2 linked regions of the Drosophila melanogaster genome follow. The protein of the gene in region 1 purifies or fractionates together with the protein of each later gene. This does not show direct contact. Each region holds a gene or a part of one and is shown on either strand. Other genes may lie near its edges.

The links.
Region 2: the proteins of Pfdn1 (region 1) and mgr purify together in Drosophila melanogaster (affinity purification with mass spectrometry, with the first as the bait; one large-scale study listed by BioGRID). This does not show direct contact.

Annotation. Positions count from the first base shown.
Region 1 is NT_033779.5:6,067,099-6,070,345, forward strand, and holds Pfdn1 (prefoldin 1), read left to right. Parts: upstream 1-1,980; 5' UTR 1,981-2,122; coding exon 2,123-2,152; intron 2,153-2,248; coding exon 2,249-2,391; intron 2,392-2,460; coding exon 2,461-2,668; 3' UTR 2,669-2,709; downstream 2,710-3,247. Other genes in the region: CG9147 (uncharacterized protein), read left to right, coding at 1-137, 191-464; CG9150 (uncharacterized protein), read right to left, coding at 669-710, 768-1,481; CG9154 (uncharacterized protein), read right to left, coding at 2,710-3,080, 3,135-3,247.
Region 2 is NT_033777.3:11,408,180-11,411,819, reverse strand, and holds mgr (merry-go-round), read left to right. Parts: upstream 1-1,944; 5' UTR 1,945-2,051; coding exon 2,052-2,138; intron 2,139-2,215; coding exon 2,216-2,610; intron 2,611-2,671; coding exon 2,672-2,774; 3' UTR 2,775-3,028; downstream 3,029-3,640. Other genes in the region: Irbp (inverted repeat-binding protein), read right to left, coding at 1-764, 1,010-1,682; mRpL40 (mitochondrial ribosomal protein L40), read right to left, coding at 3,116-3,434, 3,494-3,640. UniProt on the Drosophila melanogaster protein: Binds specifically to cytosolic chaperonin (c-CPN) and transfers target proteins to it. Binds to nascent polypeptide chain and promotes folding in an environment in which there are many competing pathways for nonnative proteins.

The sequences.
Region 1 (3,247 bases):
TGCACGCATGACTTCAAACAAATCACAGCCAGCCACCTGCTAACGCATCTAGTCCATTCCCTTCCTGCAGGCGGACTGGGTTGCGCTTTTATGGGCACGACGGATGGCCGTTCCATGGCCATGGTACTTGAGAAGCTGTGAGTTTTGATCTCGGTTATGCCTGCTTCTACTAACACAAATCATCTTGCAGGGTGCCAAGCATTGATCAGGTGGAGGGCCTTCCGTTGCTCACTTTGTATACCAGGGAGCCCTGTCCACTGTGCGACGACCTTGTAGAGCAGTTGGAACAGGGCTTTGCAGGTCAATACCGTCTGGAGAAGGTTTACATCGACCGAAAGGAAAACGTTAGGTTCCTCCGCCTCTTCAGGCACGACATTCCCGTTCTGTTCTTCAACGGCCAGTTCCTATGCATGCACCGGCTAAACGAGGAAGCACTAAGAGAGCGGCTGGAGGCGCTAAACTAGTCCGATAATCGTTGGAAAAATCGTAAACAAACAAAATTCAATTCAGTTCAAGAAAATTCATAACTCAAGCTCTACTCTACTTGTTTATGATTAATATGGGGCATGCATATTGCGCAGAGTTTTTATTAAGTACAGTGTGTTTTTCATACTATAATCCTTGAAATTTATATTTTGCTCTGCATGGCTATTATAACCGGAAGAAGTTTAAAACATTTCGCCCATGGGTTTGATAGTGATTTCATGTACCTGAAGGTGGTTAGTTAAATTGGTCATAAGTTAATACATAATAGTGATTATGCTCACCTGAACATGAGGCGGAGTTCGCAGAGCATACATCACTGCGTCCGCAATGTTCGCTGGTTCGAGTCTGGCCATGTCTTTGACGTAAAAATGGATCTCTTCCGGGAAGATGTTCGTGTTCACCGCACCAGGACAGATGCCAGTAACCCGGATTTTGTTCGAGTGCAGCTGAAATTCCTGCCGATATGTCTCTGTGATGGCGGTGATGGCAAACTTGGTGGCCGGATATATATTGAACGATGGCAAAACGTCGATGAAGTTGAGCACCTGATGTCCGGCTATGCTGTTGATGATGAGAACGTGACCTTCGCCACCTCGCCGTTTCATGTTATTGAACGCCTCGCGGGTACACCAAATCACGCCCATTACGTTGGTGTCTATGACCTCCTTAAGCTTCTGCGTATTGCTCGGGGTGACCAGTTCCGTCTCGCGAGTAATGCCAGCATTGTTCAGCAGCACGTCGGCGCCCTCCAGCTCCCGTTCGATCCAGTCAAAAGAGCTCTGCACCTGATCTTCCTTGGAGACGTCGCAGCGCCGCGGTATGAAGTTCGCCTGCAGCTCCCGGGGCAGACTCTCCCTGAGCTCTTTCAACTTGGCCTCCCGACGTGCCAGGCCCACCACCCGTAGTCCAGCGCCGATCATGGCCCGAGCACAAGCGGCGCCTATGCCTCCGCTGGCTCCTGTTACCACAGCCAGTTTGTTCTGCCACCGCTCCATGCCGTCTTGTGAATGAGGAGCTGATGCAAGTAAGAAGCCCGCATCGGAAACTCGGGAGCAGTTTCATGGCTTCTTGGTTCGCAATTGAGGTTAATCTCCAACGGTCAAATGTTGTTGTCAGGTTGTAGATATATATATTAAAAGAAGATTCAACAATTTGGGTCAGGATTATACGCACTTAAGGTTAGGCTATCCTTTTATTCTTAAATTGACCTAAAGAAAATGTATTAAGGAACTGCGAGACTTTAAATATAAAATAAAATAGCTCAAATGTATATATTTTTTTAAGATTGTGTACTTTTTAAATTTGAATAAAAATTTTATAAGCGATAACATAAAAATTAATATTTGTACTTGGTAGTGACCAGTGACCACATTTTAAAGAAAAATTCAATTTGCATATTTATTCAAAGTCTTGAAATCGGTTTGAATTTACACTTGCCGGCAAATTGGTTATCGATAGTGCAGGGCGTACTCATCGATATTTTCAGGCCAGCAGGAGTCAGATATAACTGCCATCACTAATAAAGTAGAAAAAAAAAACCATAAGCTTACCGCAGGTGTTGCAATTTTCAGTGAATTCGCAGCAAAGCCAAGCAATTTGCATTCAATCATCTGTGAAGGAAAAGCTATCACACAAAATGGCACAAATGGACATCGAATTGAAGAAGGTGAGCGGAAGGCAAGTTGCCAAAAAGGCCGACTGCCGACGGAGAGCGCGTGCTCTTCCAAAGAACTTAGTCATAGACGATTCCTTTTGCACGCAGGCCTTCACCGAGATGCAGATCAATAAGCTGGAGACGACCAAGAAGATCCACATGATCGACATGAAGTGCGACATGGTCAAGACAGGCAAACAAAAGTACCAGCTGACAGAAAAGGGCACCAGCAGCTTGGCCGACGACACAAGGTACATAACTAGAATCACAATTAATCATCTCCAGGTGTTCAGGTGGCTAATTGAACTGTTTCCCTATAGAGTTTACCAGTCCGTGGGTCGCATGTTCCTGCTTACCGATGTACAGAATATGCGCGAGGACCTGAAGGCTAGGCAGGAGAAATGCGACAAAGCGATAGAACTGCTGGAGAAGAAGAAGGAGTTCTTGCAGAAGTCCCTTAAGAGCCAGGAAGACGGTCTGCGCGAGTTGGTGCAGCAGCGCAAGGAAGCCGATCAGACTGCGAAATAGACTACAACTCCAAACTGGCATTTATCCCTCAACGCAATTGCTTATTTATTTTCAATATACTCGTCTAAATTGAAGTTGGCGTAGCTGACAAACTTGTTGCCCAGATTGCGTTCGTGTTCCGGGCGGAAGCTGCACTTGAGGACGGGCAGGCGAGCGGTTAGCCAGGGCTCCACCACCTCACCGGAGCACAGGATTACCTTGCTCTCCTTCTGGTTTCGTTGCAGCCTAGTGATTATTTCACACGTTTTGGCGATGCACTCCTGGGACAGGAAGGGCGGGTCGGCCACGATGAGGTCATATTGCTGGTGGTGCTCTTTGAGGTAGTCCGGGTTGCTCCCTACGCAGTTCAAGTCGTAGTGCACAAAATCTGTGCCATAGGCCTCGAAACGCTTGTCGAACTCGAATATGTGCACTACAAGATAGAATGATGACAATTCATTCATAATCGTTTCACATGTCCACTTACCTGTGTCATGTATCTCCCTGATGTCCTTGTAGAGCGATGGGCAGGAGAGCAGTGCTATACTAAAGTCACCCGAATCCTCCGTGCGCTCCGCCAGAAGCTTACGCACAACATCA
Region 2 (3,640 bases), on another chromosome or scaffold:
CTCGACTTTCTGTTCGTCAGCAGTGTTTTCCGTATTGTTCCAGTCCTGCAAGTCTAGGTGGCGGATGTGCTTGGCCTCCGGCAAGTAGACAATCTTGAATCCGTCACCGCAGAGCAGAGAGCGATAGTTCTTATCTTCCCCATTATCTGGGGCCTCTACTGGCACAAGTGCCACATAGCGAGGTATCGACTTGCGCTTGCACATGAACAGGCAAATGGCAATCTTGTCGCGCACCAAGCATCGTTCCCACAATGCGCGGAACAAGCGCTTCGATCCGATGATGCTCTGATCATCGGGGTACATGAAATTCGCTGGCTTGATGTAGCTAACTTCGGGAAGAGAGGATCGATGCTTGAAGCCCAGCAGCATCATTTGCGGCTTGTGCAGATTGCGCACCCTGTTCAACTGATCCATGCTGATGCGCAGATCCCTTTCGCCCACGTTGCAAGTGTACCAACCGCCCGTCACCTTAATCTGATACTCGTGCTCGATATCCTGCGAGCCATCGTCCTTTTGTTTTTGCACCGTAATCACTCGCTTAGTACGCACCACACTGTTGTCCCTGCGCAGGATTTGCACTTTGCGCGGATAGGCGCGTCGCTGAAAGTAATTGTAGTACTGTACGGACATGGATAGGTTGGGGCCCAGATAAAAACTGAAGTGGCCCAGGCATCGGCGAAGGAAATCCTGCTTCAACTTACGATCGGACAGGATTTCGCGCAGCATCTGGGCATCTGGCACCTGGAAGGCGTCCAGTTCGATAGCTGCAAAAAAGGTCCTCATTAAACATCATCTAGTGTACGGATTGCTATATATTTATTTTATTATTCTTGTAAGCCAATCCAAAACCACGAACCAATTGAGCTTCACTTGGATGCGGGTGAATGATTGCTTATATTTGATCTACGAAGTCTTAAAACCTTTCAGGCGAAAATTGAACGCCAAACAGGGGAACAGACTTCGCACATTAAAACCCATAAGAAATGAATAGCAGACTTAAAGGACTTACCTCTTGACAACGTGATGAACTCCTTGTAAAACGGCTCGTAGTCAAAGTCATCGACCATGGGAATGACATGAAACTCGAACTCCTTGCCCTCCAGATCGCTGGCCTTTTGCAGGGCAGCCTGGAAGTGATTGCTGTTCGATGGATGAGGTTCCCTGACGTCCGTGACATAGGCGATCTTGGCGTTGTTTAGCTTCTTGCCGCACTTTTCCAGCATCTCGATGCAGAGCCGGATCATAAGGTCAAACCTGCCGCGACCATCGGGTTCCGCCAGGCCATACACATCGGCGAACTGCGTCTCCACCCCGCCCATGAATTCCAGATAGTGCTCCACAATGGGTTTGGTTAGTTGGCGAAGGGGCAAGAACACTGCGCAGTTATCCGGCATTACGATGTTGTCCAATGCACTGGCTTCCAGCGGCGGCGGACTGTGCTTGGTGTTGGCGAAGATGAGTCCGATGAGGTCCTTGTCGTTAACCAGAAGTCCGGATATAAAGGCCGTCCGGATGATGTTCAGTGCCTCCAACAGGCGCTCCACGCCGGCTGTCTGAAGATTGGCGTCTACCACGAACAGAATGGCCTCGCGCCCATGGTAGTCCCGCTTCATGGACACATCCTCCTCGTCCTCGGACCCAGACAGCAGGTCCACATCGTTCTCCGGATTCCAGGTGCTCATTATGCGGCTTCTTTAGATTGCTAAAAATCTGACTTTCCGCTAATTTCACAAGAAGGCGGGCGCGCTTATCGTCGCTGTTGTTATCGATTGAGCTAGGGATGAGAGTCACGAAGAGAATTGATATATATTTAAATTTATTTAGACATTATTTAATGTTTTTAACATATTATATTATCCCAACGTTTATTTATATAATTATTTTAATATAAGTTAGTTTTACATTTTTATACGAAGTTGACCACCACCTTTCGATGACAGCCATTCAATCGATTGTTCCATCGCAATTTTGACTCATCGACTTTTACAGCGGCAGGCTGACCTCCTGAAAATTAAATTGCATTTGTAGACGGCACGGCTGAAGGCAACAGGATGACAGGAATAATGGACTCGGTGGAAATGCCCAAATTACCGGAAAACCAGAAGACCTTCGCCGGCATCCCGGAGGCAGTGTTCCTGGTGAGTGGTCCTAACCTACAAGCGTGCACCTGCAGCTGGACACTGCAGGCTAATTCGTGGTTCTTGGGCCCTTGCAGGAGGAGATCGACACCTTCATGTCGCAGCCGGAGAACGAAAATTGCGAAAAGGTGCTGCAGCGACTGGACGAGCAGCACGGCAAGTATCGATTCATGGCCTGCAATCTGGAGGCGCGGCGGCGCAAGTTGAAGTCTCAAATTCCGGACCTGGAGCGCTCCCTGGAAATGGTCAATGTGCTTCGCAAGGAGGACGAGGAGCGCGAGACGCAATTCCTGCTCAGCGACCAGGTGTTCATCAAGACACTGGTGCCGCCCACGAAAACAGTATACCTCTGGCTGGGGGCCAGCGTGATGCTGGAGTATCCGCTAGACGAGGCGGAGGCTCTGCTGAACCAGAACATCACATCGGCCGTGGGCAACCTAAAGTCCGTGGAGCACGATCAGGATTTTCTGAGGTCAGTTCGAGTGCTGTTATTCAAGTTACTTGTTTTATTGTATTATAAATGTATATTTTAGGGATCAAATCACAACTACGGAGGTGAACATGGCGCGGGTCTACAACTGGGGCGTGAAAAAGCGGCAGGCCGCTACCAAGACCACCGCCACTACCCCATCCTAAGGAGACCCACCCAAATCCCATCCCAAGATCAACATCGGTAGCAGCCACTCGCATCTTATTTATTTCGACAGTACACCGCAAGGGCTCGGCAGGCGATTCCACCTGGCTTATTCTTGTTCTCCACTGATAGCAATAAAACCGCCACACAAACGCATCAAGCTGACTCCAAACGAGATGCCTATTCCGGAGGAATGTAATATTTTAATTTGGCTACGGGCATTTAACTGCATGTAAACCGAATAAACGGCGAACGCAATTCATTGAGAGTAAAGCCGAATTCACAAATCATAGGATTAGGGTTCAGTTTATTTCAAATCTTTAACATCCGGAACTTACACGCCTCATTTGACCTCCCACTTCATGGATTGGTGCAGGTAGTCGCCATCGGGACTGACGTAATCCTTAATGGGGGGCGTGGCAACGGGTCCTTTGACGGCGACGGGCAGCAGCTGGGGATCGATATCGATGGCCGCCTGGTAGAGCTCCTCGGACTCGCGCCGAAGTTCCGCCAGCGCCTTGTTTTGCGCCTGGACCAGCCGGTCGATGATCTGAAAGTCTGCTACGCGCTCGTCGTGCTTGTAGTGCGCCCACTGCTTCTTGAGGAGAGCACGTTCCTCCAACTGGTCGATGGTCAGTGGAGCTAGCTTCCGCTGCCGTTTGCTGAACGATAGGATAGCATTACATCTCAGCATATGAGGGAAACCCGTATGAGAACCTACTCCTTTTCGTCGATGAGCTCCAGTGGAACCTCCAGTTCATCCACGGGCTTCAGCTGACGGGCATTCTTCTCCAGCCGGCGAATCTGCTTTTCGATCTTCTTCTTCTTGCGATCCTCGCGCTGCTTGACAATCTGCGGATCCAGTTTC